Oryzias latipes: one gene and its partners. The main gene of each other region encodes a partner of the protein of the gene in region 7 in a complex. Links are inferred from orthologs where the notes say so. Each region holds a gene or a part of one and is shown on either strand. Other genes may lie near its edges.

Region 1 (4,215 bases), on a different chromosome or scaffold from region 7:
GGGTCCTGGACCGGATGTGATGCTCAGAGACGGACTCTACATCCTGAGAACCATCTTCTGGTTCTCCAGACCAGGTTCTCATCCGGAGCATCGTTCTTCTTCAAACCTGGGAACAGTTCTGGTTCCTGAAGCTTCCGCTGAACAGAACTTTGTTCTGCATATCAGAGATGAAAGAGGTTCTCTGAAGGCAGTCCACTCCTCACCTGCCAGCCGCCTGAAGACCCCAAAGCGGGGGCTCTCTGCCAGCTCCCTGAAGTTCTCCTGGTCTCCCTGACCTTCCTGCAGGTCACGCAGAGCCTCCATCGTGGACTGAGCGGTCAGACTGAGCCCCCATTCTGTAAATATGAGACCGGTTTGTCCTTCTCACCTCCTCAGAACCTGCATGAAGAGTCCCGAAGCTCCACCCAGACAGGAAGTCTGAAGATGATGTAGTGACATCACTTCCTGTTGAACTACAACAATTTACTGTTAAATTGTTACAGTTTATTTATTGATGTCATTTCGGAACCAGAAGATCTCCACTGAGCATGCTCAGTTCCTTTTTAACTCCCTCAACGCTCTCTTGATGATCACCTTTTATCTAACTCCTCCCCATGAGTCATGACTCCTCCCCATGAGTCATGACTCCTCCCCATGAGTCATGACTCCTCCCCATTAGTCGTGACTCCTCCCCATGAGTTATGACTCCTCCCCATGAGTCATGACTCCTCCCCATTATTCGTGACTCCTCCCCATGAGTCATGACTCCTCCCCATGAGTCATGACTCCTCCCCATTATTCGTGACTCCTCCCCATGAGTTATGACTCCTCCCCATGAGTCATGACTCCTCCTCTCACATCTTTCTGGATGGTCTGAGCATTTGCGGTTCTGTTGGACCTGCACTGATGGTGTTGAAGTTTTCTGTCTCTCCTCATTGCTCTGGTTGGATTGGCCTTCGCTCAGAGCAGCCGGGTCCGACCAGAACCAAACCCTGAGTTTGCTGTTATTTATTTCTGGCTGTGATTTCAGGTGTACATGTTTGTTTTTTAAGAAAACAGAATAAAACGACTGTTCTGAAACTGAACTGGATCTGTTTATCCAGCCAACCAGAACCGGAGCAGGTGGCGGTCCGATTCATGATGTTTTAAGACAGCAATCCCCTCAAAGGTGATTGATGTTCTCCTGATGAGTTCACGTTCTGCTCTGTAGAATAGGAAATCCCAGATTGATCTCGTGTTTGGGATCCTCTGGTTTCTTAGATCAGCCTGTTTCTACAGAAAGGGGAGGAGCCTAAACATTTTAAAAAAGGGTCTATCTTCGCATTCTCATTGGTCAGTCCTGACGTTCAGACCAATCGCGGTCAAGAGTATTCAGTCGTACGCTGTGGGGGCGGAGCTTCAGACCGAACCAATCAGATCCCACGTGGATCCGGAGCCTTTGAAATGCGTGAGGAGGCGTGTTCGCGACAGAGGACTGAGCCGCGCGTGCGCGCCATCTCTTTTGTTTTGCTACTTTCTGTGCTCCTGCTTCATCATGGAGATGAAGAAGAGGATCAGCCTCGAGCTCCGAAACCGAAGTCCCACCGAGGTGCGTGAGAATCCCGCAGCCGCTCCTGTTTTCTGCGTTAGCGGTAAAGACGCGCGCGCGTGTTCCGTCGTCTTAGCGCGAGCTACACCCGCGCGGCTCTAGTAGCGGAGCTCTGTTTCCCGCCCGCTCCACGTGCGGGTTTCCTGTGTTCCGTGGAGAAGCCTCGAGGCAGCTCCAGCTAGCTAGCTAATGTGGAGAAAGAGCCGCGAGCCGGTTTGGGTCTGTTTCGGTCGGGTTCCGTTGACTGTGTGCAGCGGGGCGACTTCCCGCCGTAGGATGATCGCGGTTCCGATGACAGTGGTGATCCTGACGAACCGCAGTTCTGCTGAAATGCTTCGGCGCCGTTTTAGCTTGAAGCTCCAGCTCGGTGAGTCTGTTCGGACCACTTTCAATGCGCATGCGCAGTCCAGTCTCGGAGCTGGATTTTTTCGATGCACGGCTGGCTGTTGGGGACCCGGGTGGGTTCGGTCCATTTCAAACAGCCTTCTGGCGGAATATCGGGCAGACGTGAGCTGAACCTCAGCCACGGTCCGAGACCAGGACGCGGGGAATGGACGGTACCGGTGGTCCTCGGTCCGTCTGCCTTCATTCTTAAGCCGTGCAGAGGTCAGGTTCGAAATGGGAGGTCAGGTTCGGAATGGGGAGCACCAACACAGATTAGCTTCTATAGGTACCACTCATTTATGGGACTTACTTTACTATACATATTCTATATTGTGGTAAACATGAGTTCACATACAGAACCCTACAAACATCTGGGCTCTATGGACCTAAACACTGCAGTTGTTCCAAAGGTCCAGAGCTCGGTTCTGGTCCAGACCTGTTGCCTGTCATCAAACGTCTGCAGTTTCGCTAACGGCCTGCAGGGGGCGCGGGAACGCCGAGGCCGTCTGGTTTCCATCATGGTGACGTATGAAAGCGTCATGGTGGTAAAACTGCTGGTGTCACGTGACTGCGGACGGCGGGCGGATGAAAAGGAAGAATAAATATTCATCCAATCAGCTGTGGCGCTGTGGATGGAGCTCTGGGGAAGTGCTGCACATCTGATTGGCTACCATGATGGCATGGCGTTAAAACTCCAAACACGCCTGGTGGAGCGTTTCCACATACGTCTAGGCTCTGAAGCTCTCTGGAGCAGACACTAAGGGGATTGTGAAATCCACCAGGACCGGTTCTGGACCAGAGCCCGGCTGGTAGACGAGGCCTCCTGTCCTCAGAGTGAAGCGGCCGCTCTGCGGCGCCGAAGGTGGGGTGTTGGCTGCAGGTCTGCTCAGCTGCCGTCTGCTTCCAGGTGGGGGAGCTGGTGGTGGACAACTGCCGCTCCAGCGACGGCGAGGTGGAAGGTCTGTCAGAGGAGTTCACGGAGCTGGAGGTCCTCAGCATGGTGAACGTGGGCCTCAGCTCGCTGTCCAAGATGCCCCTGCTGCCCAAACTGCAGAAGGTGAGGAGACGTGGTCATGACCGCAGCCTCAGGAGGTCTGACCTTCCTCCCAAACGTCTAAACTGAATGAAGGACGTTGACCTCAGAATGATGCAAACCAAATGGTTCCAGGTTCAGGTTGGTCTGAACCGCTCAGCCTTCCCGCCTTTTACAGCAGAACTGAGACCCGACTGCTGTGTTTCAGCTGGAGGTCAGTGAGAACTCCATCGGTGGGGGGCTGAACACGCTGGTGGAGAAGTGTCCTGGCCTGACCCACCTCAACCTCAGCAGCAACAAGCTGAAGGAGCTGAGCAGCCTGGAGCCGCTGGTAAGTGGCGCCTTCCTCTGGTCCTCCCAGGAGGTCCGCTGCTCACGGCGATGTCATGTGACCTGCAGCAGAGCCTGAAGGCCCTGAAGAGTCTGGACCTGTACGGCTGCGACGTGTCCTCTCTGGACGACTACAGGGAGCGCGTCTTCCAGCTGCTGCCACAGCTCACCTACCTGGACGGGTTCGACCAGGAGGACAACGAGGCGTCCGACAACGGTGAGGCGCCATCCGTCACAGTCTGAAGGTCGAGGAACCCGCTCTGCTGGTTCTTCAGAATAATCATGAAGGTCTAAGACAAACCTAAAGTTCTTGTTTGGTTCCGTCTGAACTCACCTGATCCGTTTCCTGTCAACACACTGGTTCTTTTCTAGATGAGGAGGAGGAGGCAGGTCCTCCCGGAGATGATGATGAGGAGGACGAAGATGATGAAGAGCACGGCTCTGAAGAAGAGGAAGTGGGGCTTTCCTACCTGATGAAGGACGGCATCCAGGTGTGCCACTGATCCAGATGGGGAGGGGGAGGGGGGGGGCTCCTTGTGACTGAGCGCAGTCAGCAGCTTCCTGTTTCTGTTGAAGGACGAAGACGATGATGGAGATTATGTTGAGGAGGAAGAGGACGAAGAGGATGAAGATGAGGATGGAGGTGAGTCTGTTCTCCTCCCTCACATGGACAGACCCTCCTGAAGTGATGAGGGGGGGTCTGGTTGAGAACCCGGTTCTCCTGGACCTGTAGGCTGACGCCACAGGTCAAAGCAGAGGAGGAAAGAGGCTCCGCCTTTTCTGCAGAGATGACATCATTCTGTTGAACTACAAATGAAGGAGGATGGACTACAGACACGTCACTTCCTGCTGCGTCATGCTAACACCTGTTTGCAGAAAAAGGTTCAGATCTCCTGCTGTT
Region 2 (4,109 bases), on a different chromosome or scaffold from region 7:
TCAACAGCAAATTTGAATGACTGCTCTTGAGGGTGCTTTTTAAAATTCATATGTTCAGACAGGTATGCTAGAGTAAACAGTGACACCGACATCATGTGTGCCCAATCAATCAGAAGATATAAGTGTAGAATTTGTTGAAAATTGTAAAGACCCCAAATTCCCACTTTTGGAATATGGAATGACGTCCAGCAGCAGGGTAATGGTACATACGCTTGTTCTCTCTCCAAATGTTTGGCCTCAGATACAGTCAATGTGTCTGTTTTTGGAGGAAGTCATCTTACACATTATTTATGTTGAAAAATAAAAATCGGTCTTTACCACAATAAGTCTGTTCAATAAACAAGGTCAAAGAAATTTAATTTACACTACTGGACAAATTTTATCCCGCAAAACATTATCTAAATTTAGAGTTGACTTAAACAACAGCTGTACTTTCTGACAGAAAAATCCTGAAACATGTTCTCATTTATTTTGGTCATGTGAATTTACTGACACATTCTGGAAAAAGAGCCACAAATTCATTACTGACTCTGTTTTTGCTGATTTTTAACTTTATTATAAAAACGTGATTTTTGGTTTTAAACAATTTAATCACAAAGATAGTGGTTCTTTCTTTTTTCTAACTGTGATTCTATTTCTGGAAAAATTTCAAAATCTCAAAGGTAAATTTTCTAATGAAGTACCTTAACTTTTCTTGCTTTTCTTACTGAAAATGGAACTCCAGCAATAAAATGTATTCAATAAAACTAATCTAGTTCCATTGTGGTTTTTTTTTCCTTTCTCTTTGTGGATTTTTTCTTTTGATATACTTTGATGCTAATTTTATAAAATGTTTTTGTTTTCAACAGAAGCTAAAAACGTAAATAATAATAATAACTTCTATTTTGGAGTTGTGTTATGTTCTTACATTGTACTTTTATAGTGTTATATTTTTGTACTGTATTCTTCCAGCATTCAATAAAAAAAAATTAAAAATAAAAAAATAAAAAAAAGATGAGAAAAAAGGCAGATTGTTTGCTAAGTTTGTCAAATCTTCCTATTTGAAGAGAGTCCTAATTTTTTTTAATCATGTTTTTCTTTAATTACTTTATATAGAGAGAGGCGGGGACATGTTAATAGCGTATTTAGTTAGTTTGACAAACGAAAAATTCATTTATGTTAAAATATCTAAAAAGTGGAACTGTGACAGGAATGTGTTTCTGCACGAGCCACTTTTTCAGGAGGTACTTTGGCTTGTTCTTTGATTGGCTGAAAGAAAAAGATTACGCAGATGTGATTGGCTTTCCATCGTCCGGAAGAAAGATGAAAGACTGAATGTGATTGGCTAGAAGGAACAATTCTGAATGGTGGCTGATTTAGCCCGATCAGTTTACAATGTGCTTTTTGTGTAGTTACGACTTAAAAAACTAAATAGTTATTTAAATGTTTTTCTTCTAAAATGGCTACCTTAGTTTTGGATAATGGCGCGTACACGGCGAAGATCGGTTACAGTCTGGAGAAAGTCAGGTGAGGTTACTTTGTTTTAGCAAGGCTAACTTCACAGATGACGATGATGCTTTCAATCAATATTGCGTTTTTTTTTATTTCCCGAAAGATTAAAACCTCATTCCACTGGAAAACGTTTGTTTGTTGCACTGTGACATAAAGTCATGGGACTGAGTGTAGGGGGGTAATAGCAGTAAGCTATAAACGTTACAACAGAGATTTACCCTCGAACGAATCGAATGCGGCAAAATTGCTTTTCTTGTCAGGCAAACACATTATGACTTTTACTTTGGTAAATCAAAGAACAATTTTGCAAAAATGGACATAGGAAAACAAAAGGTTTTTTTTTCCAAGTTCTTTTTGGTACTCAAACCTTAGACTTAGAATACTCCAAATATTTTGTCTGTTACAGGTACTATTAGGTTACAGGTTCCCCTGTTTCTATTATTGGCAACAGTTTTTGTTTGTTTATGCATTTGTGATCTGAGTTTGTGCTAATCTGGTAGCAGAATCTTCAGATCCTAAGATACTTTTATTGTTCGCAAACAAAAGTATTGTGAGGATGTTGTGAAAATATTCTATGTAATAAAAAAAATCTAGCTTTGCATGTGAACACAAACTTAACTTTGTTAGGAAGGGAAACTGTCAATATTTGTGTCGTGATGTTTAGTCTCCGTTATGTTTTTGTCTACTGAATTTCATCTACAAAAGTCTTTGTTTTCTCCATTCTTCTGATTGAACCAGTAGAAGATTTAGTGACACTTTTTTACCCTTTTTCTTCAGATGTGGGAAGTTTATTTAGGTTTTTTTTCACGTTTTTATGCCAGATCTCTAGCATTTGTGTGGGTTGAAGATCTTACTGGATGTGACGTTTTTACATTTTGTTTTTTCCAATTTAACTTGGTTTCTGTCTTTATTTTTCTTCAGCGTGATTCCCAACTGTCAGTTTCGCTCAAAGAATTCCCGGCTAAAAACGTTCACGGCGAATCAGCTGGATGAGATCAAAGATCCGTCGGGTCTCTTTTACATCCTCCCCTTTCAGAAGGTGAGGTTGCCTCTGCAGGTCCAGTGCAGGTTGGGTAACAGTTTCTTACTAGGTGCTCATGTCTGTGCAGGGTTACCTGGTCAACTGGGATGTTCAGAGGAAGGTGTGGGATCACCTTTTTGGAAAGGAGATGTTTAAGGTGCACTTGTCCGTTTTTGTATGTTAGTCATGCATGTAGTTAAGTAGGCTCTTCCAGCTGCTGACTATGAGTTCCTTGTGTAGGTTGACTTTGCAGACACCAGCATCATCATCACAGAGCCATACTTCAACTTCACCTCCATCCAGGAGTCCATGAATGAGATCCTCTTTGAAGAATACCAGTTTCAGTCTGCTCTTCGAATCAATGGTGAGTTCATCAAATGACCAGAATATCAAACAAGCGCATTTAAAAAGAGTTTATAGGAATATGTTTATCTCAAAGAGTCATTTTTATGTAGGAAAAATAGGTTTTGACAGGGAATTTAAAAAACGTTAAGAAGAGAGCATTTTAAAAGTTTGAGCAAAGTTTTAACACAGGTTTTGAAGAATCACGCAGATAAATACTAAAAGATCATTAAGTAAGAACAAGCATCCTCTTTGACTTACAAAAAAAGATTTCCTCCTGGTTTCAAAATAAAAGCAGACATTTTCATTCTGTGGTCCAAAAACGACCACAGTGGCTGCAATGATGTCTCACATGAATTGTGCTGTTAACTCGATGCTCAGACAAAATCAAGGTTAGAATATGGAGTCGTTTTGCTCTAATGAAAGAACAGAGATTTGACATTTACTGCCTTTGTTCTCCTCCAGGTGGCTCTCTGAGCGCTCATCACTGCTTCCACTCCAAACCGTCTGAGCTCTGCTGCCTGGTGGTGGACTCTGGGTTCTCCTTCACACACATCGCCCCCTACTGCCGCAGCAAGAAACTGAATCATGGCATCCGCAGGTAAGACTGTGCTGTCTTATGGCCCTTATGACCGTGAGAATACCAACTGTAAACACTTTTGTGTTTCAGAATCAATGTTGGGGGAAAACTGCTCACCAATCACTTAAAAGAAATCATCTCCTATCGGTGGGTTTGTGTCTGCAGCTTTACGTTTATCAAATAAGTTACTGAATAATTCTTTGCAACGACTTCTCCAGCCAGCTGCACGTGATGGATGAAACTCATGTGATCAACCAGGTGAAGGAGGACGTCTGCTACGTCTCACAGCAGTTTTACAAAGACATGGAGATCGCGCAGTAAGACAGATGCACGTCTATTGTTGCTGGTCCACCTGTGTGATGTTAAACGTGTCTCAGAGACATTCACCAGACTTTTTAAAGAAAAGGAGAACCCTTTCACATTTACTGTGTTTGCAGACTGAGAGGTGAGGACAACGATTTGATGAGAGACTATGTTCTTCCTGACTTCAGCGCCATCAAAAAAGGCTTTTGCAAGGTGAGATGCTCTCATCTCCTCTCCTTTGTGACATAACGGGCATTCAAAATGAAAAATAACCCAAAAGAATATCCATTATATTAATATTTAAACTGTTGCATTGGTTTTCTCTGGGCACTCCGGCTTCCTCCCAGTCCAAAAACATGCTTCAGATGTTTA
Region 3 (4,252 bases), on a different chromosome or scaffold from region 7:
AACAGGGACTAGAGGTCAGACGGGTCCGAGACACCTGCGGTGGGACGGGGGTAACTTACTTTGACTTCCGACCTCTGGAGTCAGAGGTGGTGCTGGGAGTGAGCGTCTGGGTGAGGGTGGAGGCCAGGGCGGAGGAGGAGTAGGAGCCGTCCCGGGACACGGAGAACTCTCGGCCCAGCTGGAAGTCGTTGTTCTTGATGGCCTCGTAGCTGGCTTTGAGGCTGGAGGTCCGGCGGCCTTCCTTCATCTGATGGGACGGAACAGACGGGGGATGGAGCGCCACCAGCGGGGCCGACATGCACGATTTTAGGATGGGGGTCGGGTTCTGACCTGGGCTGTGGCCTGTACGGCCTGCGCCGCCGCCAAGGTGATGGCGCCGGCGCCGGCCCCGGGTCCTGCGGGCAGAGCGCTCAGGTTGTAGGAAGCCAGGGGCTGAGAGGAGTTGAGGCTGTAGGCGCTGTTGGTGGATGCAGACATGCTGTTGGTGCGGCAACCTAGGGGGCAGGAGGGGGGGGGGGCAGTTAGCTGCGTGGAGGCTCCGCCCTCCAGCTGCATGGCTGTTATCTGCAGATGCTACCTGGCGTGTTCTCCTTGGACGGATCCGAGGTGAGTGTAGACAGCAGAGCCTCAGACTTGAACTTCTTCTCAGGAATGTGCTCCACCGTGTGGTGGGCGGGGGCGCTGCACTTCCTCTCTGTGGACAGAGGACACGGTGACACGTGAACCTGCTGCAGAGGTCCTGACATCACGAGGCGGAGCTGAGGGCGTGCAGCAGCTTACTCTCGGCTGTTATGTGCGAGTGCATGTGATGGTTGTTGACCGGCTGGGAGGGACTGTCCATCTCCAGTGACCCTGAGAAGAGCACAAGGTCACCGCTCTGCCTTTCAGCCCCAACGAGTCGCTCTGGAATCGAACTCACGTCTCTCCAGGATCTCTGTGATGCCGGCATTGTCTGCCTCCAGCTCCATTTTGAACTTGGCCAGCTCCTGGTCCAGTTTCCGCAGGTGCCGGTCCACCTGGAGGCAGAGGAGACAACAGGTCACATGAGCTTCTGGACGCGGTGCAGCAGGTAGACCCGGTCCAGCTGCTGCGGGGCGTCTGTTGGTGATGAGGGAGGAAAGCTCCTCCCCAGTGGTGTTAGGGACAGACAAAACTGTCAGGGAACTCCGTCCTGCTACGGTGGAACCTCCAGGCGATCCGGCAAACCCAGCTGGACCGTCACTGTGCAGGAGGTCAGAGACCATCCGGTCAGAGCGGCAGACGGTTCCACTCACCAGATCATAAATCTGATTGGCCAGCTGTACTTTCTCATCTGCGTCCTCCAGGGCCTTGTAATAATCCTGAAACACACCAGAAACAGAATCTAGATCTGACAGGTTCCTTCGGGTTCCTCCAGAACCAGCAGCAGATTCCAGACCTTCTTGATAACCTCCATTTGCTCCTCTCTCCACTCAGGTTTGTTCTTCTTTGCATTGATGAAGAAATCAATGACCCTCTGCTCCAGCTGGTCTGTGGCGTCTGAAACAAAGAGGCGGGAAAGAACTAAAGCACATGACATCAGCTTTCTGGTGCTGGTTCTGGATCAGACAGGAACCTAGAAGAACTCTCTTACTGTCTCCAAAGTTCTTCCACCTGCAACTGCATCAGAGGTCAGATCTGAGACTGGGGGGGGGGGGGTCAGTCCACCTAACTCTGACCCTCCAACAGCTAGGGGTCACAGATGACCCTGGAGGACTTTACAACTGAACTAGGGCTGCACGAGATGAGCAAAACTCGCCATTTCCAACATTACTGATGAATATTGCAATGACCATATAAGTTGTGATGCATATAGCAAACTATCTAAATAGATCATTTCCATTTCACTGCAACAGCTTCAATTAAATTTAAAGTGTACGTTAAATTACACTCCGAATGCCCCCCCCCCCCCCCCTACATCAAAGGGCTCCATCTGGTTGGTCAAATGCATTAATGGATTTATGTGATTCCTTAAATCCTTCAAGCTGCCATAAGATTGTTTGAGCACATTTAAAGTTACATTTATCACAGCTTGATATCAGGATAACGATAAATGAGTGACTGAATGTGCCTCAACTAACAAATACTGATGTGATAAAAGTTTGAACAGCAGCTGCGGTCATGACGTCAACATGAAAGGCGGCGGATAATGAAGGGATGTGCTTTGATCACCATGACCGCCTGACAAAAAGGGGAGGGGCTTCAGAATCTCAGCCACATATGCGTAAAGTGGCGCACGCAGCTCTACAAAACCTCACTTAGTGAATTATTAAACGAGCTGAAAGGTTGATAAGTTCCGTTGACGTGACTGAGGTGTCACCGGGTTCACGGACATGTCAGGTGTGTTAGCTCCGGTAATCTGGCCTTTTTTAACCGCTCGCTGGCGGTTCGAGTCTCCGTGCCGCGGCAGATGTCCCAGCCGAGCCCGGTGGTTGGCGGAAATACGTACTCTGCACCTGCAGGTCCATCTCCCGCATTTCCGTGAACCTATCGCGGAGGTCCATGGGAAGCTGCTCGATCACTGCCGGAAAAGGAAAAACACGTTAGCATCCGCTGCAGCTAGGCTAACGGAAATGCACGCGGCGGCCACACATAGACACACACTGTGCACACATAACGGGCCGAAGTCGGTACCGCCGCGACGCCCCGGTCCGGTACTCACTCTCAAGGTAATCTTCTAGGTACAGCATGGTGGCAAAGTTCGCGCTTTGGCCGTTTTAGGACAGAAACGGCTTCTTCCAATATGGCGCTGCCTCGCTGACAAAAACACTGGAAAAAAAATGAGGTCAGACTGCGCCTGCGTGACGTACGCGGCTTTCGGATTGGTTCAACAATGAGGGCGCGGTTTTTCCTGTTGTTAAAGGAAATGCATCATGGGAATAGTAGTTTAACTTGCATACTTTTGGACTTTGCACCAAATAAAGATGTTTTACTTAAGATTTTCGCTAATATTATAAACAGAAGGTGGGCTTGGCCTGAGATTATTTAGCTGCTGAGACCTTAAGCAACGGGTCTGTTTGTCTGTGATGAAAATATCAGGACAGAAACGCTGCTATAAACCAAAAATCACTTCATAAGGAAATCACCGATCTATGTTTTGCCTATCTGCACCTTTCTTTCCTTCCTTTCTTTTTAAATCTTTTTTTTTTCTTCCTTTTCTTTTAAAGTAAATTTTATGTTGATTATTTCTATGATGTATTGTGATTTTAATGCATTTTTCTGTTTTGTGAAGCACCTTGAATTACTTTGTGTACGAATTGTGCTATACAAATAAACTTGCCTTGCCTTGCCTTGGACATGATCTGCTTCCATGCCCTCACAAAGTTGAGCAAAACATCTGGAGTTCACAGCATTACTTTGAATGAAGTTGATGGTTTTCACAGTGACATCCATCACCTCATGGAACTCTGGAGACATTTTTTTTGCTGCAAGGTTTTCACGGTGGAGAAAACAATGGGTCCATTTAGCTTCTGGCGCAAGATCAAGTATCTGCTTGATGACACCGCGATGCCTGCCAGTCATTGACGCTGCGCCATCACAGCACACTCCAACACCGTTCTGCCAGTCAAGGCCATTCTCAGTGAAGTAGTTATCCATGCAGCGGAAACATTCCTCAGCTGTAGCTCGAGTTGGAAATTCTCCACAAAACAGAATGTCTTCTTGCAAAGAGCTATCCCACCGGTAGCGAACAAAAACCAACAGCAGCGCAGCATTTGTGACGTCAGTCGACTGGTCCAGCTGCAAAGAGAAAAAGGGGCTCTGTCTTATTCTCCCCAGAAGCTGCTGCTCAATGTCTGAGGCCCTGTCAGCAATATGGTGACTCACAATGTCATTCGACAGCGGGATGGTCTTGAGCTTCTTTGCTGCAGCCTCACCAATCATCTCACGGCACATGTCCACAGCGGCAGGCAGAACCAGTTCCTCCGCTATGGTGAACGCTTTCTTACTCTGCGCCACACGTCTGGCTACGAGGTAGCTGGCCTTTAACGCACACTTAGCGTCGCCAGTCAGTGACACGATGGACCCCCTCTGCATCTGAAGCCCATCATCCTTTCTTTTGAAATAATCCACTGGCTTTCCAATGAGCTTCGGATGTTTGGTTTCCAGATGGTGCTTTAATTTTGACGGTTTTAGTGCTTCATTGGATAATGTTAGCCCACACTCAACACACTGGGCTCTGCCTCACTGCCTCCGTTCACAAAGCCGAACTTTATAAAATCAGGGTTGTATTTTC
Region 4 (4,281 bases), on a different chromosome or scaffold from region 7:
ACATATCTGTGCACTGCTTCCTTACACGAAGGAAGAATCGATTTAGAATAAATAAATGACACGATTCATTAAAAAATAATCTATTTACGATATGAAGTATTGTAAGAAGTAAAGAGAAAAATCACAAGTGTTTGAAATACAACAATATATAGAGATATTTAAAAAAAGTTTTTGGTATTTCATTTTATTTTTAAATGAAAGACTTTTTTTAAAAATACATACAGAAAAGGTTGGTTAATATTATACCAGAAGCTGTTTGCTATCACACTGTGGCAACAATCACATAGGGTCAAATTGTTATGCAGCGAAGTGATATACATTTGGTCTCTACAGGAAAAAGTTGAACATTTTAGCTGAAAATGAAAAAATAAATAAATAAAACAGTTAGACTACCCAAAGCTTTTGAAATGATCATTTCTAATTAGCAGAAACTTTTTAAAATTAGAAATGCCTTTCTTTCTTTAAATTTTATGTCATTGTAGCATGTCAGGCTGATTATTCTGTTAAAAGAAGTTAAACTGTTTTATCCTTTGATTTGTTCGAGGGAAAATGTTTACATGTTACACTTGTGTACTCTACTTGGATTTTATGGTAAAACATGTGCAAAATAATAATAATAATAATGCATTTTAGTTTCTAATTGGCCAATGCACAATCTAGTGAAACCCCGTGGTAGAAATCAATTGTTAGCTGATCAAATAAGCCTTTACTTACTTACTTACTTACTTACTAACTTACCCACTTACTTACTTACTTACTTACTTATTTACTTATTTACTTATTTACTTATTTACTTATTTACTTATTTACTTACTTACTTACTTACTTACTTACTTACTTACTTACTTACTTACTTACTTACTTACTTACTTACTTACTTACTTACTTACAGTTGTGGGGGGCAGATAGAAATTTAACTTGTTTCCCATTTTAAAAAAAAGGATCAATTTGATCTTAGTGCTGTGTCCGAATTTCCAACCTAATCACCAACTACTAAAAACGATATAGTGTCGTGGGTTTTAAAAGCAATTAGGACACCATCCTCACTATTTTTTTTCTTTTTTTAAAACGGGAAATATAACGTTACCGATTTCACGAAGTGAAAATCTGATCAATACATACTCCGTCGTAAATACAAGCAATTTACAACAACTATTTATTAATTCATTGCGTACTTGAAATAAAAAAAATATTGATTGTTTAAAAAAAAGCATTTCAACACATTGTTTTCGCAAAAAATGTTCAAAACGCAATGCATTGTCATTGATCTATGTTGGCCAATTTAATGAGCGTCGATGCACACTGGTTAATTTGCAGAGACTTCCGAGAAATTTCTTAGGAACTGGATTTTGAAATTGTAGATTCGGACAGCATTACAAAATTGCGAACGCACTGTATAGTGCACTGTGTAGTGAGTGGTAAAGGAATTTAGAGATGTATTTTTACACAGGCAGTCATGAGACTGCCTCTGCCTGTGAAAAAAAACTTTCACATGGGTCGGGTCCTTCAAGTGCACTCTATCAAGATGGCAGCCAACAGCAGCACGTTCAGCAAATCGAGCAGCAGCGCGGCTGGAAAACAGCCCGCGCAGTCAGCCGAACAGGTATCCTATTGAGTAGCGGAGTCTTTTGTCTCGGTACTCCTGAGATTGTGACATATTATTCGTATATATTCAGCAGAAAGTAACTAAACCGACGTACAGCCAGTCAGCGCTAACGTTAGCTTCCCCGTGGCCACAGAAGTGTCTTGCAGTCAGACCCATGCGAGGGGAAAGAAATTGTGAGCATGAAATTAGGTCCAATTTGTGCTATTTGCACATCATGGAATGGGATAACGTCAAAGATAAACTAAAGGTACACCATTCTGTATGTGGGTGGTGTGGCCCTCAGAATGGGTCTGACAGAGCATGATGATGCTATTTTTACTACTCAGACAGTCAACAACTATGCACAGCTCAAGGGCTACGGAAGCCTTTCATATAAGAAAAAAACTGTTTCAACACGTTGCCAAATTATTAGTATAAAGCGACGTCTTAGTGATAGACAATAACATGTAGACACACTATAGGAACAAATTAGCATAAAAATGGCAAATGTTGAAATGTATTAATCTTTATTCGATGTTTGTTGAAAAATAACATTAAAAATACATATGAACTTCAAAAAATTTTGGGGTCAAAATTAAATATTTTCATACAGGTTCAAAGAATACTGTGAATTAAGTCATATTAGGAAGTCATATTCTAAGTTATAAATTGCTCTTGATTGAAAAAAGAAAGTAAAGCTAAAAAAAATGGTACATACATTATATATAAAAAAAGTAAAACAATTTGAAATCATTAACATGGAGAAGGTTATGCATTTGGTCTGCTTAAATTGAACCAGAGTTCACTTTAAGGTCTGGGACCTTGACCCATCTTTGCAGGTGGTCTTGGTTAATTTCCAATCAGATTGAGCTCGGGTTCGCTCTAAGATTCCTCAATCTGAATACCACTGAACCTAAATGGCCACCATAGCTGACATAAACAGAGTAGGAATGTGGCTACAGATGAGCCGCGGACAAATAAGCAATTATTATCGTGTTATCAAACAGAAAAAAAGAGTTCAAGTGTTTATTTGTTAGAACGTTTATTTTAACATTGCTGAAAAGGCTACTTGCATGCTTTTCTGTATCTTGTTACGCGGCATTCGCCTGTGGCATGACTAAAAGCTATATTATAGTTTCCTTAACAGAATTCTCTAAAAACAATGCCCTAAAACCACAATGATGAGACACAGCAACTCATTGAAATGTGGTCAGATGAATGCAGGCTAATTAAAATCATTTTTAATGGGAAACACATTGTATCTCACTGCAGGCTGAAATGACACAATTCTGATTGTTTTTTGCCCCTATGCGACCTGTATCTGATCTTTTCATGACAGTCTGAACGACACAGATCCGATCTTTTCAAATGCGACCCAGGCCACTTGCGTATGTGGTCCTGAATCCGATATGTATCCGATCATTTCAAATGCGACCTCCGTCTGAACGTCCAGGCCACATGAATCCGACCCGTACGTCATTGATACGCTGCAAACATCATCATTTTTCGTTGAAGTAGGCGGGAACAAGAACATAAACATCAACCAATGGCGGACGATGCTGCTGAGACCAGTCAGTGGAAGGGAAGCGAAGTCACCGATTTGATTAATATTTGTGGTGACGGCTCTATTCAGGCCAAACTCCAGGGCTCTTTATCGCAACCATGCGGTTGCCCCTCAGAGAGGAGAGAGCGTGGCAGCCTACTCATACCCGACGTCTCGTCATCAATGCAGTTACTAGCATGCTCTGAGTTAAAGCACACACAGCACGTCTCCTTGCCACTGACCGCTTCGCAGCATGCCTTTGCCGTACCAAAGTAACAAATAAAAAGGCTTGTTCCCGACGTTCAAAACTGATAATCGAAAAAAATATAAAATTTTAATAATTTAACTGTTAAGCGGCACACGTCCACATTTCTCTTGTTTTGATCTGCCCTCGTAGTTCCTGGCCAATGACTGAAGAGATCTTTAGTCACATTGTTTTGTTTATAAGCTTTGGTCGCTAACAGAATGGGGCGCTTAACGCCAGTCTGATAAAGGCCTAACGCAAGGTTCGGAACTCGGTCCGGAACAAATTAAGCGGACTGGATCAAAAGGGACTGGGTAAAAAAAAAAACTCTCTAAAGTCACAATTTCCTTTTAAGGTTTGGTAAGTTTATTCAGCCTGAAAGCCCCTCAGTCTGAAACAGCTTACATGCTTGTGTTGGGATCAGACGGATGCGTCAAATGTCATTGGTCTGCATTGATGCCAGCTTTGCGGTGATGTTTTCAGGTGGTTGCCACCTTTCAGAGGATGCGTCAGGAACAACGCAGCATGGCGTCTAAAGCTGCAGAGCTGGAGATGGACATCAATGAGCACAGGTTAGCAGCTGATGACTTCTCCTCTGAGAGCTTTTATAATACTCACTTTTTATGTTTGATTGTTAGCAGGACAGCTAATTGGATCATGTTGGTCTGTAGTTAAATTGACCTTTTTACTTTATATACATTAAACTTAAAAAAGAAAAACATCTTGTAACTCACCTCGTCACATAACTGGTAAGTGGTAAAAGAGTAATAATTTTAATGTTTTTTTCTTTTTGTGTTCAGTTTAGTTATTGAAACTCTTAAGGAAGTGGACCCTTCTAGGAAATGCTATCGCCTGGTTGGAGGGGTTTTGGTAGAGAGGACGGTGAAAGAAGTTCTACCTGCTTTGGAA
Region 5 (3,018 bases), on a different chromosome or scaffold from region 7:
ATGCCTCCTGAAAAGAGTATAGCAATGCTAGCCTGGCCACTGCTAAGAGGTAAATTATCTTTTGCCACAAAAGGCAACGAATGAACTCGTCGCCTCACCGCCTCACTCAGGACACCAATTAGACGGTTCACAACTTCAGTTTTCTCCTTGCTGATTAGAAACTCCTCTAGATTTCCTCCAGACACCTGTGAACTGGGATTAACTTCAACCTTTTTTTCTGGAATGGACATATTCAAAGGACAAACAGGTGAAGTGATTGATAAACCTGCTCGATTTATCTCAAAATTGCACCCACTAGGGACAGAGTTAACCATCATTTCACTCAATGATGGGTTTATGACATTTCTTGCCCAGGGAAAAAGCTCAAAGGACACAGAACCACTCTGTGCAGCTGCCTTTACATCAACCTTAAACACGCCAACAGCTGGGACTTCTTTCCAATCAGACTGACCCAGCGCAGAAATCCCAGCTGCCACTGAGGTCAAAGTGAAGACACTGATCTCGGCGTCATATTTCCACAGCAAGCTGCGCCTTCCAAAAAGGTCTCTCCCAAACCAGAGATAATCTTCAGCCTTTTGATAGAAAACAAATGCCCAAGGCCCTTGAATGGCAGACAGAAGTGCCAGAACCTCCAAAGAGTTTTTACAAGATGACAATTTCTGACAGATGACAGTGGTGTCATTCTCTTCTGGCATCACAGAAATCCCTCCAAAAACCTCTCCATTCCACATCAAGACATTTCCAGCGTCGTCTTGAAACGGCTGAAGAGTAAGGAGGCCTCTCATATGGAGAACATGGGCAGAAAATGAGCAGTGATAGCTCAAATCTACAGCAGGAAACGATAGCTCCCTGCTAGAGTTGGGGCCCCTTCTCTTCAGAAATTCATAAATTCTTTTGTCCTTCTCAAATTGAGCAGCTGACAAAGTCAACTGGAAAAAGATTCCACACATTGTTGCAGCTCTAAATATCCTGCAGTTCTTTTTTCAAGTAATCCAGTTCCTCTGCAAGAATAAAAATAAAAAAAGTTTTAAAAAAAAAAAGGTGAGTTATATTGTAGTATGGTACAACATTGTAAAAATTTCAATGCAAGAGGATAAATGAATACTAACACATACTTCTGCTTGTAGACAATGTTTGACTTCTGTCAGCCAGGAAGAAAATGTTGCTGTTTCTCTGTTGGATGTAAACTTTCTGAAGAAAAGAAAAAAAAAATCAATAAAAAATGAATTTATTACGACGGATGGATGGATTTATGGATGGATGGATGTAAAAAGGTAATTACCGTACCCTGTTCTTCTTTAGGTTAGAGAGTTCATCCACAACGACCTTTTGCTCTTTGATCTGGAAATTAGCAACAAGTTAACGTTAACAACCCTATGATGATGAAGCCATCAGGAGATGTATCCCATCATGTTAAGTTTTAATTTAAAGATCAGCAGTCCTTCATTTTTCCAGCAAACATGAGAAAATCGAAACTTATTAAAACAGTAAATACATACTATTGGTGCGTAAATACTAACAAAAGTATTGCTATTCGTTTTTCCGTTCTACTATACATGCTGAAAAAGGTGAATAAACATATCCGTGTTGTTTAGCCAGCTAACAGTAGCGCGTCTTTGATATAAAGTTACCTTTTTACTGAGTTCCTCTTTATATGTGGTTTGCTCTTGGGAATTATCGCTGTTATTGTATTTTTTTGAAGACATTTTCATAAAGGAGCCACGAGGGAAAACTTTTTATCTAATTTTTCTCTTAACAGCGTCTACTTCTGCGACAAACATGTCCGGATATGCGTCATAACCGTTCCGGGTGAAGAAATAGGTGGGGAGTTCGAAGCACACTGCCGCCTAGAGGCCAGATTTGTAAAACACCCGCTACACATCTCAGGGTCCGGGGCCTGCCAAATTATAGGTAACCAAGGGGTAAACACAGATTGAATAAGAATGTCTTTAAATAACAGATTTGATGTAATTTACTTTCTTAAGACTAAAAAAATAGTATTGGGCTACTACAAAAAAGTTTTTTAAACGGAATTGGGTTAAAATTTAATCAGCTAAGCAAGTTCGAGACAGAAGAAGTTAGACTTTTCTGTTTCTACCCGGTTTTAATTTTCATTTAAAGTGACACTTCCATATAAGAAAAAAGCAACAAAAAGAAACACTGATTAAATAAAATCAATTAAGCATAAATTAAATAATGAATCCATTGCACATCTGATATGTTGATCATTTTTGATCAGTTTTCAAAACCACCTGAAGCTATTAAGTAGTCTTTAAAAACACCCAATTAACTGTCTGTGTCTTGTTCCTTTTTTTCTTTTCCTTTTTTTTCTGACATCAGAGCCTCTGAAAGCTGCACCTTTGTTAACCCTACCCTTTACTTTAACCCCAGAAACACTTCTTAAAATATTGCTTTTGGGGGGAAATACACCTCCAGCCAATTGTTGCTAGGCTGGAACAGTATCTCTAGTTAAAAAAGTATTTTTTCATTGTTTACTTGTAAAACTAAACTAAAGTAGTGGCTGAAGACAAACCAACCTGCCTTGTCTTAAGATAATTTAGCTTTTTTATATTTTAGTTATAATATGACATGCTTTCATCTGCTGATGTTGAATCATCAAATTAAAAATAACACATGCAAGTGCATTTTTTCGGGGACTAAAGCTTTTTGTTGACTTGATCTGTCTGTAGACGAACAGATGCTTAACCCCCTTTAAAAGCAGTTTCAACCTAACCCCCACCTCCCTGCTCAAAGATCACACAACCAAAAAAAAATGAATGTTGAAATACCTGCTGAACTCTGCAGCTTATTTCAACCTTGTCTTTGCCTTTTTTCTTTTGAAGTCTCTCAGCATTTAAATAGCTTTTGCATACCTCATAGTTGTTTTGTTTTTTTTACTCTTCAGTTTGAGTCAAAACTGTGCCATGAAGCTCCTAAGATGGAGAGAAAGCTAAAATAGTATTTTTCCTTATTTATGCTGCTGGTGATCTATTATTATTGAAAAAAATAAAGTTTGCA
Region 6 (2,712 bases), on a different chromosome or scaffold from region 7:
ATTAGGATGTTTCCGACATGTTCCCAGTCAAAGATTAAAGGCCCGTACACACCAGGACGAATATTCGCCAGGCGTTTTTCGCCACGTTTTTTGTGTTCACACCCAGGCGATTTTCGCTGACGATGAGTGGAGTGAACATGCAATTTCATTCCCTGACATTAGATGGCGCTTAATGTAAAACAGAAATACTCCTGTACACAAGGTGGCGCTGCGCAACTTTACGCTTCTGAAAGTCGCTTTTCACTCAGAAGAAGAGAGCAAGTATTTACGCGCTTGTCAGAATAATACAAAGAAAACATGAATATTTCAAGCACCATTAGCTCCAACTGGTGCTTGGTTCGGGGATATTTTAGAATGTCCGTCATTATTGCTTCGCGGCTGTGTGTAGACGCTACTTGGCGTCTATCTTCTTCGCTGGTATGTGTGCTCAGCAAGGCAGTTTTGTGTTTGAGCGCCCCCAAGTTGTGTTTTACTGTAACTTCAGAAGCTCCAGACACGTGAGCAAAAGCGCAATTCTCATTGGTCGAGTAGATTTCGACGCAACGCGTCGAAAAAAAAAACGAACCCAAGGCGTTTTTTTTTTTTGACGCTTCAACGCCTGGCGTTTTTTCGCGTTGGTGTGCACACTCTCGTTGGTGCCCTTTGTTTAGTCACGAGGCGTTAAACGTCGGCGAAAATCGCCGGCGAAATTCGTCCCGGTGTGGGTACCGGATGTTCTCGGGTTGCCGGATGTTCTCGGGGTCCTTCGGGGTCCTTCGACCAATGATGACGTCACACTATTTGATTGGCTGTAAGTTGCCACGACCAATGAGTTAACGTCGCTAAGTTTTTTTAAAAACTTTATTGACAATTGGGGTATCATACATTAACAAAAACGTATCACCTTGCTCAGCTGTATAATTTAGTGTAAGTTTATTTTTTTGCTTGTATATCCCCTGGCGTTTATTTTGAACATTTGATGTACAGCTTATTGTTCCTTGTTCTTTTGCTGTATGTCACTTTTGTTCTGCATCAATAAAAAAAAAAAAAATAATAATAAAAAAAAAAATGACATTAACGTTAACAACGAACAATAACGATGTAATCAATATTGCCTCGAAGATCAGTCACCATTGCCAAATATAACATATTGACATAGAAAATAAAGAATAGAGGGGAAAAAAAGAAACAATCAACATTACACACAAATAAATAAAAACATAAGTAAAATAAAATAAAGGAACATAGAAAAAAATCTAAGCAGTCTAATACTAGTTAAGTTAGGGGTACTCGTGAAGTTTGTATTTCTGAACAAAACTAAGCAATTTCAAGCCATTCTTCTTTTTCATATAATGAAGTGATTGAAAGCAAAAACAGAGCTCTTTATTAAATGTTATAAAAGTGGTTTGGTCTTCAAAACTTGACCTCACCAAGATGGCGGTGCTCTCCTCCTATGAGGAACCACGTGATGTCTCCTCTAGTGATATAACTCATTGGAAGGACCCTGAAGGACCCCGAGAACATCCGGCAACCCGAGAACATCCGGTACCTACACCGGTGTGAACAGGCCTTAAGAAACAACAGAGCGGATCAACCTTGAGTTCAATTTGATGTTTAAAGAGACAAACCGCCGCCGGAGTGAGGGAAAGGTGCTGAGACTGAAGTGCATCTCTGTGGTTTTAGGCTCATAAATCAACCATCTGGCAGGTCAGACATTTACCTCAGAGCAGAGACGTCTTCATGACAACAGGCGGGTCGGGAAATCTGCATCTGTGGAAATAGTAAGTCTTCAAAAATGTTTGCTTTCCAGAAATGTACTTTCCTGTTCTAGCAGTTTGATTATTTACTTGAAAATGTTCCACTTAGTGAGTATCCAGCTCAAAGGAGCGAGAAGGACTGTGAGGGTGTGGCAGGGGGCGTGGCCGGCTCGCTCAGCCTCCTGCAGAACGTCACCCTGTCCACGCAGCCGATCACCAGCCTGGACTGGAGCCCCGACAAGCAGGGTCTGTGCGTGTGCTCGGCGTTCGACCAGTCTGTGCGTGTGCTCATCGTCACCAAGCTCAACACGGTGTGAGGCGGGGCCAGACAGAACATGGACCAAATGTGCCTCGCAGAACAATCTGAGCCTGGATGGTGGGGTTCCTGGACAAAGATCAAAGTTCTGCTGTCCTAAGTTAAACTGTTATTTATCCTCTTAGATCTGACTTGTTCATTAAAGATTTTTTTATCTATTTTTAAAGTCTTTTAATTCTGATTCTGCCATTTTACCGAAATCTAAAACCTGTGTCATTTTCTAGGACCTAGTTTCTGCAGAGCAGCAGAAGATTCATTAGAAATTCACCTCTGAGTTGTTGACAAGACTGTTGGTTTGGGGCAAGCCCAACCCCCCTTCCCCTCCATGTTACTGAGAGCTCTGCCTCTAGCTTACAGTGCCTCACACTGTCAACTCAAGGGTGTATTCAGACTGCAAAGGTTTGTTGGTCTGGATGTTTAGCCCATAGTGTTCACACTGGACCAGCAGGGAGGGGCTTCTTCTTCTTCCACTGCAAACCTTAATGGAAACTTTAGTAGCAAAAACCAGAGTTTTTGTTTGCTGTTGTTCCATCCCCAACCATATTCAAGATGTAAAACTTGATTTTTTTAAAAATCAAATTAGTCAAAAATTCTTATCTTTATCTTAAGATAAATGTTTATGCTCTGAAATGAATGTTAGACCGACTCCTGCTTACAATC
Region 7 (3,963 bases):
TCAATCAATCAATCAATCAATCAATCAATCAATCAATCAATCAATCATATAACAGAACAGCCTTTGCCACCATTGCATACTGTCTGAATGCCTCGGAGGGCTTGGGAATGTTGGACCTTGAGCCCCTGACCCTTCATGATGCTCAGTCCATCCATGATCTTCCACAGGTTTACGTTACCTCCGATAATTGTTCGGATCAGAGAGGCGTGGCCTGGACAGTCCACCAGGGTAAACTGCAGACTGTCGTACGGCTTCAGGCCCCCGCCGTCCCGCAGGTGATCCGGACAATCCACCGTGAAGGAGGAGAAGCCGAGGTCTAACGTGATGCCTCTCTCCCGGGACTGTGGGTTCTTGTCGAAAGCAGCCGTGGAGGCGGTGCTGCTCAGCGCTCTGGCCAGCGACGTCTTCCCGCTGTCGACATGTCCGAGGACCCCCACGTTGAAATTTAACGTTTTCGTGCGGCTGTCATGAGACTCGGACATCCTCTCGAAGTTTCCGAGCACGAACGTTTTCCTACCTTGAAACCTGAGCACCGCGTTGATAGTTATTTGGAAAAAAAATAACGTTCACTGCGTTAGTTGGTCAAATCAACAAGTCATTTTCGGTGCCTAAAGTGTCCCTAAAAAACTGCAGAGTTTATGGTGCTTACACTTTATTTCGTCCCCGATTACAAGACGAACCGGAACGTTTATATGCGGGGAACAAACCAAAATAAGAAAAATGTGATATTTAAATATTACAATTTAATAAAAAAATATAACACAGAAATATATTTCTATGTATAAAATAAATATTTTAAATTATCGATCAATTAGTGTTTTTTATACTGAGGCCTTTTTTGTGTGTTTCTATTACAACAAAATAAAACGAAGCACAGGAGGAAACAGGGGTGTGGTTTCAACTTTGATTGACAGAACATTGACTAATCAGAAATGCTCTTATCATGAGGAAAACCAATGGTTTTCAGACTAGTTAAAATGGGCGGTACCTCAGGGGTGTCGATTCCTGCTTTTTTCCCCTGGTAACCCACATGGAAACCGTGTTTTGACTTTTGGCGCCTCATGTAGTGGTCAGAGAAACGCAGACACTTAGGTGACATTTTTTAAACTTTACTTTGCGGCTTGGACAGTATTATAGCCAGTGCTCCTGTAACACTTGCAAATATGAAAATCGAGGAGGTAAAAAGCACCACAAAGACCCAGCGAATAGCTTCACACAGTCACGTCAAGGGACTCGGGCTAGACGAGGCCGGCAATGCTAAACAGACAGCATGCGGACTGGTCGGACAGGAGGCTGCCAGAGAGGTGATGTTAATCATCTTTTTTCTGTTTCAATTGTATTTTATTTTCCTTCAGACATTACTTGCACATAAGTTCCTATGAGAACACGGTAGCAAATTGCTAACCCCTGATGCTAACTGAGTTAGCACAGCTGCGTAGTTTTCTTCTCAGATAACCTGCGAGACTCCTCCTTAGTTAAATTAACACACAGTTTCCAAAGTAGCGATTTATTTTTTTTATTTCATTTAATATATTTCTTAAATTAAATTTAAAAAAATGAATTGAAATCTCTTGATTATATTTCCATCATACAGGTACAATTTTTATTTTATTGGGAAAGAAAAACGAAATGTGAAACTCAAACTAAGGTATATTTCTTATTACACATTTGTAAGTCGACAAAGAATCTACATCAAAACCGTCATAAAGTCAAATGTGATCTGTAGATTATTTAATTTTATTTATTGGATGGAACTAACAGCACTGACAGTTATTTCTTTATAATGGAAAATTGTTGGAACCATAATAAACAGTCATCATATTATTTTTTTTGTGTTTTTTGTTTGCTATTGTTACATTATGGCTGCTAAATAATTAAAAATGCAAAGAAAACTCTAATACATTATATAGATCGCAGTGTATTTTCTAGACTCTAAAGTGGAACAAGGCAGGATAATCGCCTCTAAAACACGTTTTATTTTATTTTTATTTGATGAAGAAGTTCATAACAGGATTTTCAACTTAATTTCATGATGTATTACTTCAGTTTTTAATTTCATTCCATTCTAAAAGCAGTATTGGGTGGATGTTAAAATATGTTTTTACATGCGTCGGAGGTTTCAACTGACCGATTGCACTTAAACACTGTTTTGAATTCTTACCTAAGAATCATCCTATTATAAGGAAAATTAAAATCAACACTGCACTGGCAAAGTTAAAAAAATAAACGATAATAATAATAATTTCCGTTTGTGTTTTTACCTACCCAAACAAGATTGTCTGTGCTGGTTTTAAAGGGCCAGTATCATGGTATTCTTAAGCCTTTTTTAGGGGGGGGGGGGTCCTGTGGTAGCATATTCTGTGAACTTGAGTGGGCGGTGGGGAGGGGGGGGCGACGACGACATTATATGGGATTTCTACCGAATATTAATGTAACGTCTTGCTTTAAATTTTTAAAATTTGAACATGTTTTTGTGTAAAGCACTTTGAGGGGCTCTAGAGGGAAAAGTGCTACACTAATAAAGTTTGATTTGATTTGATACGACGTTGAAATGACATTTATAAATCTCAGTTTGAGTCCTGCAAAAATGTATATCACCAAAACAATATCAATGTATCTGATAATACATCCTGTGGCACACAAAAGAACAAATCGACCTGCAACTTTCACGTTTCTGTTTATTAGTCTTACTCAACATCGTAGTTATAAAGACAGTTTTCCTTTTTCCTCATTGTTATACTTTAAACTAGGCCTGCACAATATACCGCAAATTTATCGTTATCGCAATATCCAGCTCTGCAATATGCATATCGCAAAAGACGGCGAATATCGCAATAAATCGCAAGCCCAAAATGTGTTAAAACAATCTTCTAGCAGCTTGAAGCATTTAACGAATCAAATAAATCCCTTTATGCTTTGACCAATCAGATGGACGCCTTCCCATTGTTGACCAATCAGATGGAGGCCTATTATGTTAACCCTGGTCCTGAAGAGCCTCAACCCTGCCTGTTTTCCAGCTCTCCTTAACCAGCTTGCTGTTGATTGGCTGACTCAAGTGATTTCACATCCTGATTGACTGAACACACCTGATTTTGGTTATCATTATCGAGCAGTCTAGGGAGAACTGGAAAACAGACAGGGTTGAGGCTCTTGAGGACCAGGGTTAGCCACCCTGACGTTTGTCCCCCATGTCGATGAGGGTCATTTGGAGTATAATTTTTAAACTGTTGCAATGAAATGGGAATGATGTTTTTGTTTATTTTTCTATTTGTTTATTTACCGCAAATTTATCGTTATCGCAATATTGATCACTAATATCGCATATCGCAAGTTTTCCTCATATCGTGCAGCCCTACTTTAAATGTTGTATTTCTCTTTGGTTTCTCTACCCTTTAGGCTTGTGGCATTATTGTTGAGCTGATCCAGGCCAAAAAGATGGCAGGAAGGGCCATTTTACTGGCAGGACCCCCTGGAACAGGAAAGGTAAAGCATCAGTGAAGATGCCGGCGGACTCTAACGCTCGTCCTTCATGCAGACTCTTACTGTGACGCCGTGTGTCTTCTGCCTTTAGACGGCCCTGGCTTTGGCCATCGCTCAGGAGCTGGGGAACAAGGTTCCGTTTTGCCCCATGGTGGGCAGTGAGGTCTACTCGTCTGAGATAAAGAAAACAGAAGTATTGATGGAGAATTTCAGGAGGGCAATTGGTGAGTGTAATCGATCCATTTATCCAACAGGAACCATGGCAACCAAGCCAGATAGTTTTGGAATTATATCCATGAAGACATAGGGTTTGTTAAAGCAGAGAAAAAACGTTTTTTCACAACTTTGCAGCGTTTGAAATAAGCAGTTATCCTGTTGTCAGAGACAACCAGATTTCCCGGAGGACAACCCCAAATGAACACGATGGTTGTCCGTGTGACAACCTGGTCTTTTATTCAACATTTTTGGGAAACCGACGTCCGA

What was found.
Region 1: ruvbl1 (region 7) and acidic leucine-rich nuclear phosphoprotein 32 family member E share a complex: the UniProt entries of both Homo sapiens proteins name them as parts of the SWR1-like complex. The link is inferred for Oryzias latipes from reciprocal best matches to the Homo sapiens genes RUVBL1 and ANP32E.
Region 2: the proteins of ruvbl1 (region 7) and actr6 are in contact, whole or in part, in a cryo-EM structure (PDB 6IGM), measured with the Homo sapiens proteins. The link is inferred for Oryzias latipes from reciprocal best matches to the Homo sapiens genes RUVBL1 and ACTR6. Residues at the interface, in NP_003698.1 of Homo sapiens: Lys162, Thr163, Ala164, Lys165, Gly166, Thr167, Tyr209; in NP_071941.1 of Homo sapiens: Tyr217, Tyr300, Arg338, Cys339, Leu340, Thr341, Pro342, Thr343.
Region 3: ruvbl1 (region 7) and ing3 share a complex: the UniProt entries of both Homo sapiens proteins name them as parts of the SWR1-like complex. The link is inferred for Oryzias latipes from reciprocal best matches to the Homo sapiens genes RUVBL1 and ING3.
Region 4: ruvbl1 (region 7) and pfdn2 share a complex: the UniProt entries of both Homo sapiens proteins name them as parts of the PAQosome complex. The link is inferred for Oryzias latipes from reciprocal best matches to the Homo sapiens genes RUVBL1 and PFDN2.
Region 5: ruvbl1 (region 7) and ASNSD1 upstream open reading frame protein share a complex: the UniProt entries of both Homo sapiens proteins name them as parts of the PAQosome complex. The link is inferred for Oryzias latipes from reciprocal best matches to the Homo sapiens genes RUVBL1 and ASDURF.
Region 6: ruvbl1 (region 7) and wdr92 share a complex: the UniProt entries of both Homo sapiens proteins name them as parts of the PAQosome complex. The link is inferred for Oryzias latipes from reciprocal best matches to the Homo sapiens genes RUVBL1 and DNAAF10.

What each region holds. Positions count from the first base shown.
Region 1 is NC_019874.2:32,438,066-32,442,280, forward strand, and holds the start of acidic leucine-rich nuclear phosphoprotein 32 family member E, read left to right. Parts: upstream 1-1,415; 5' UTR 1,416-1,513; coding exon 1,514-1,567; intron 1,568-2,858; coding exon 2,859-3,008; intron 3,009-3,192; coding exon 3,193-3,315; intron 3,316-3,383; coding exon 3,384-3,531; intron 3,532-3,686; coding exon 3,687-3,805; intron 3,806-3,890; coding exon 3,891-3,957; intron 3,958-4,215. UniProt on the Homo sapiens protein: Histone chaperone that specifically mediates the genome-wide removal of histone H2A.Z/H2AZ1 from the nucleosome: removes H2A.Z/H2AZ1 from its normal sites of deposition, especially from enhancer and insulator regions.
Region 2 is NC_019864.2:26,969,165-26,973,273, forward strand, and holds the start of actr6 (actin-related protein 6), read left to right. Parts: upstream 1-1,309; 5' UTR 1,310-1,438; coding exon 1,439-1,506; intron 1,507-2,412; coding exon 2,413-2,530; intron 2,531-2,600; coding exon 2,601-2,669; intron 2,670-2,752; coding exon 2,753-2,876; intron 2,877-3,319; coding exon 3,320-3,455; intron 3,456-3,524; coding exon 3,525-3,581; intron 3,582-3,652; coding exon 3,653-3,751; intron 3,752-3,871; coding exon 3,872-3,950; intron 3,951-4,109. UniProt on the Homo sapiens protein: Required for formation and/or maintenance of proper nucleolar structure and function. Plays a dual role in the regulation of ribosomal DNA (rDNA) transcription.
Region 3 is NC_019881.2:24,132,965-24,137,216, reverse strand, and holds the start of ing3 (inhibitor of growth protein 3), read right to left. Parts: upstream 2,801-4,252; 5' UTR 2,709-2,800; coding exon 2,681-2,708; exon of another isoform or gene 2,624-2,680; coding exon of another isoform or gene 2,623-2,623; intron 2,540-2,622; coding exon 2,468-2,539; intron 1,519-2,467; coding exon 1,418-1,518; intron 1,341-1,417; coding exon 1,275-1,340; intron 1,017-1,274; coding exon 920-1,016; intron 853-919; coding exon 781-852; intron 695-780; coding exon 578-694; intron 495-577; coding exon 331-494; intron 248-330; coding exon 60-247; intron 1-59. UniProt on the Homo sapiens protein: Component of the NuA4 histone acetyltransferase (HAT) complex which is involved in transcriptional activation of select genes principally by acetylation of nucleosomal histones H4 and H2A.
Region 4 is NC_019876.2:18,973,611-18,977,891, forward strand, and holds the start of pfdn2 (prefoldin subunit 2), read left to right. Parts: upstream 1-1,481; 5' UTR 1,482-1,492; coding exon 1,493-1,603; intron 1,604-3,855; coding exon 3,856-3,944; intron 3,945-4,172; coding exon 4,173-4,281. UniProt on the Homo sapiens protein: Binds specifically to cytosolic chaperonin (c-CPN) and transfers target proteins to it. Binds to nascent polypeptide chain and promotes folding in an environment in which there are many competing pathways for nonnative proteins.
Region 5 is NC_019879.2:16,672,442-16,675,459, reverse strand, and holds ASNSD1 upstream open reading frame protein, read right to left. Parts: upstream 1,792-3,018; 5' UTR 1,713-1,791; coding exon 1,632-1,712; intron 1,342-1,631; coding exon 1,288-1,341; intron 1,192-1,287; coding exon 1,116-1,191; intron 1,002-1,115; coding exon 961-1,001; 3' UTR 951-960; downstream 1-950. Other genes in the region: asnsd1 (asparagine synthetase domain-containing protein 1), read right to left, coding at 1-950.
Region 6 is NC_019873.2:11,208,720-11,211,431, forward strand, and holds the end of wdr92 (WD repeat-containing protein 92), read left to right. Parts: intron 1-1,662; coding exon 1,663-1,760; intron 1,761-1,845; coding exon 1,846-2,053; 3' UTR 2,054-2,212; downstream 2,213-2,712. UniProt on the Homo sapiens protein: Key assembly factor specifically required for the stability of axonemal dynein heavy chains in cytoplasm.
Region 7 is NC_019863.2:3,775,511-3,779,473, forward strand, and holds the start of ruvbl1 (ruvB-like 1), read left to right. Parts: upstream 1-1,163; coding exon 1,164-1,304; intron 1,305-3,396; coding exon 3,397-3,483; intron 3,484-3,571; coding exon 3,572-3,704; intron 3,705-3,963. Other genes in the region: eefsec (selenocysteine-specific elongation factor), read right to left, coding at 179-482. UniProt on the Homo sapiens protein: Possesses single-stranded DNA-stimulated ATPase and ATP-dependent DNA helicase (3' to 5') activity; hexamerization is thought to be critical for ATP hydrolysis and adjacent subunits in the ring-like structure contribute to the ATPase activity.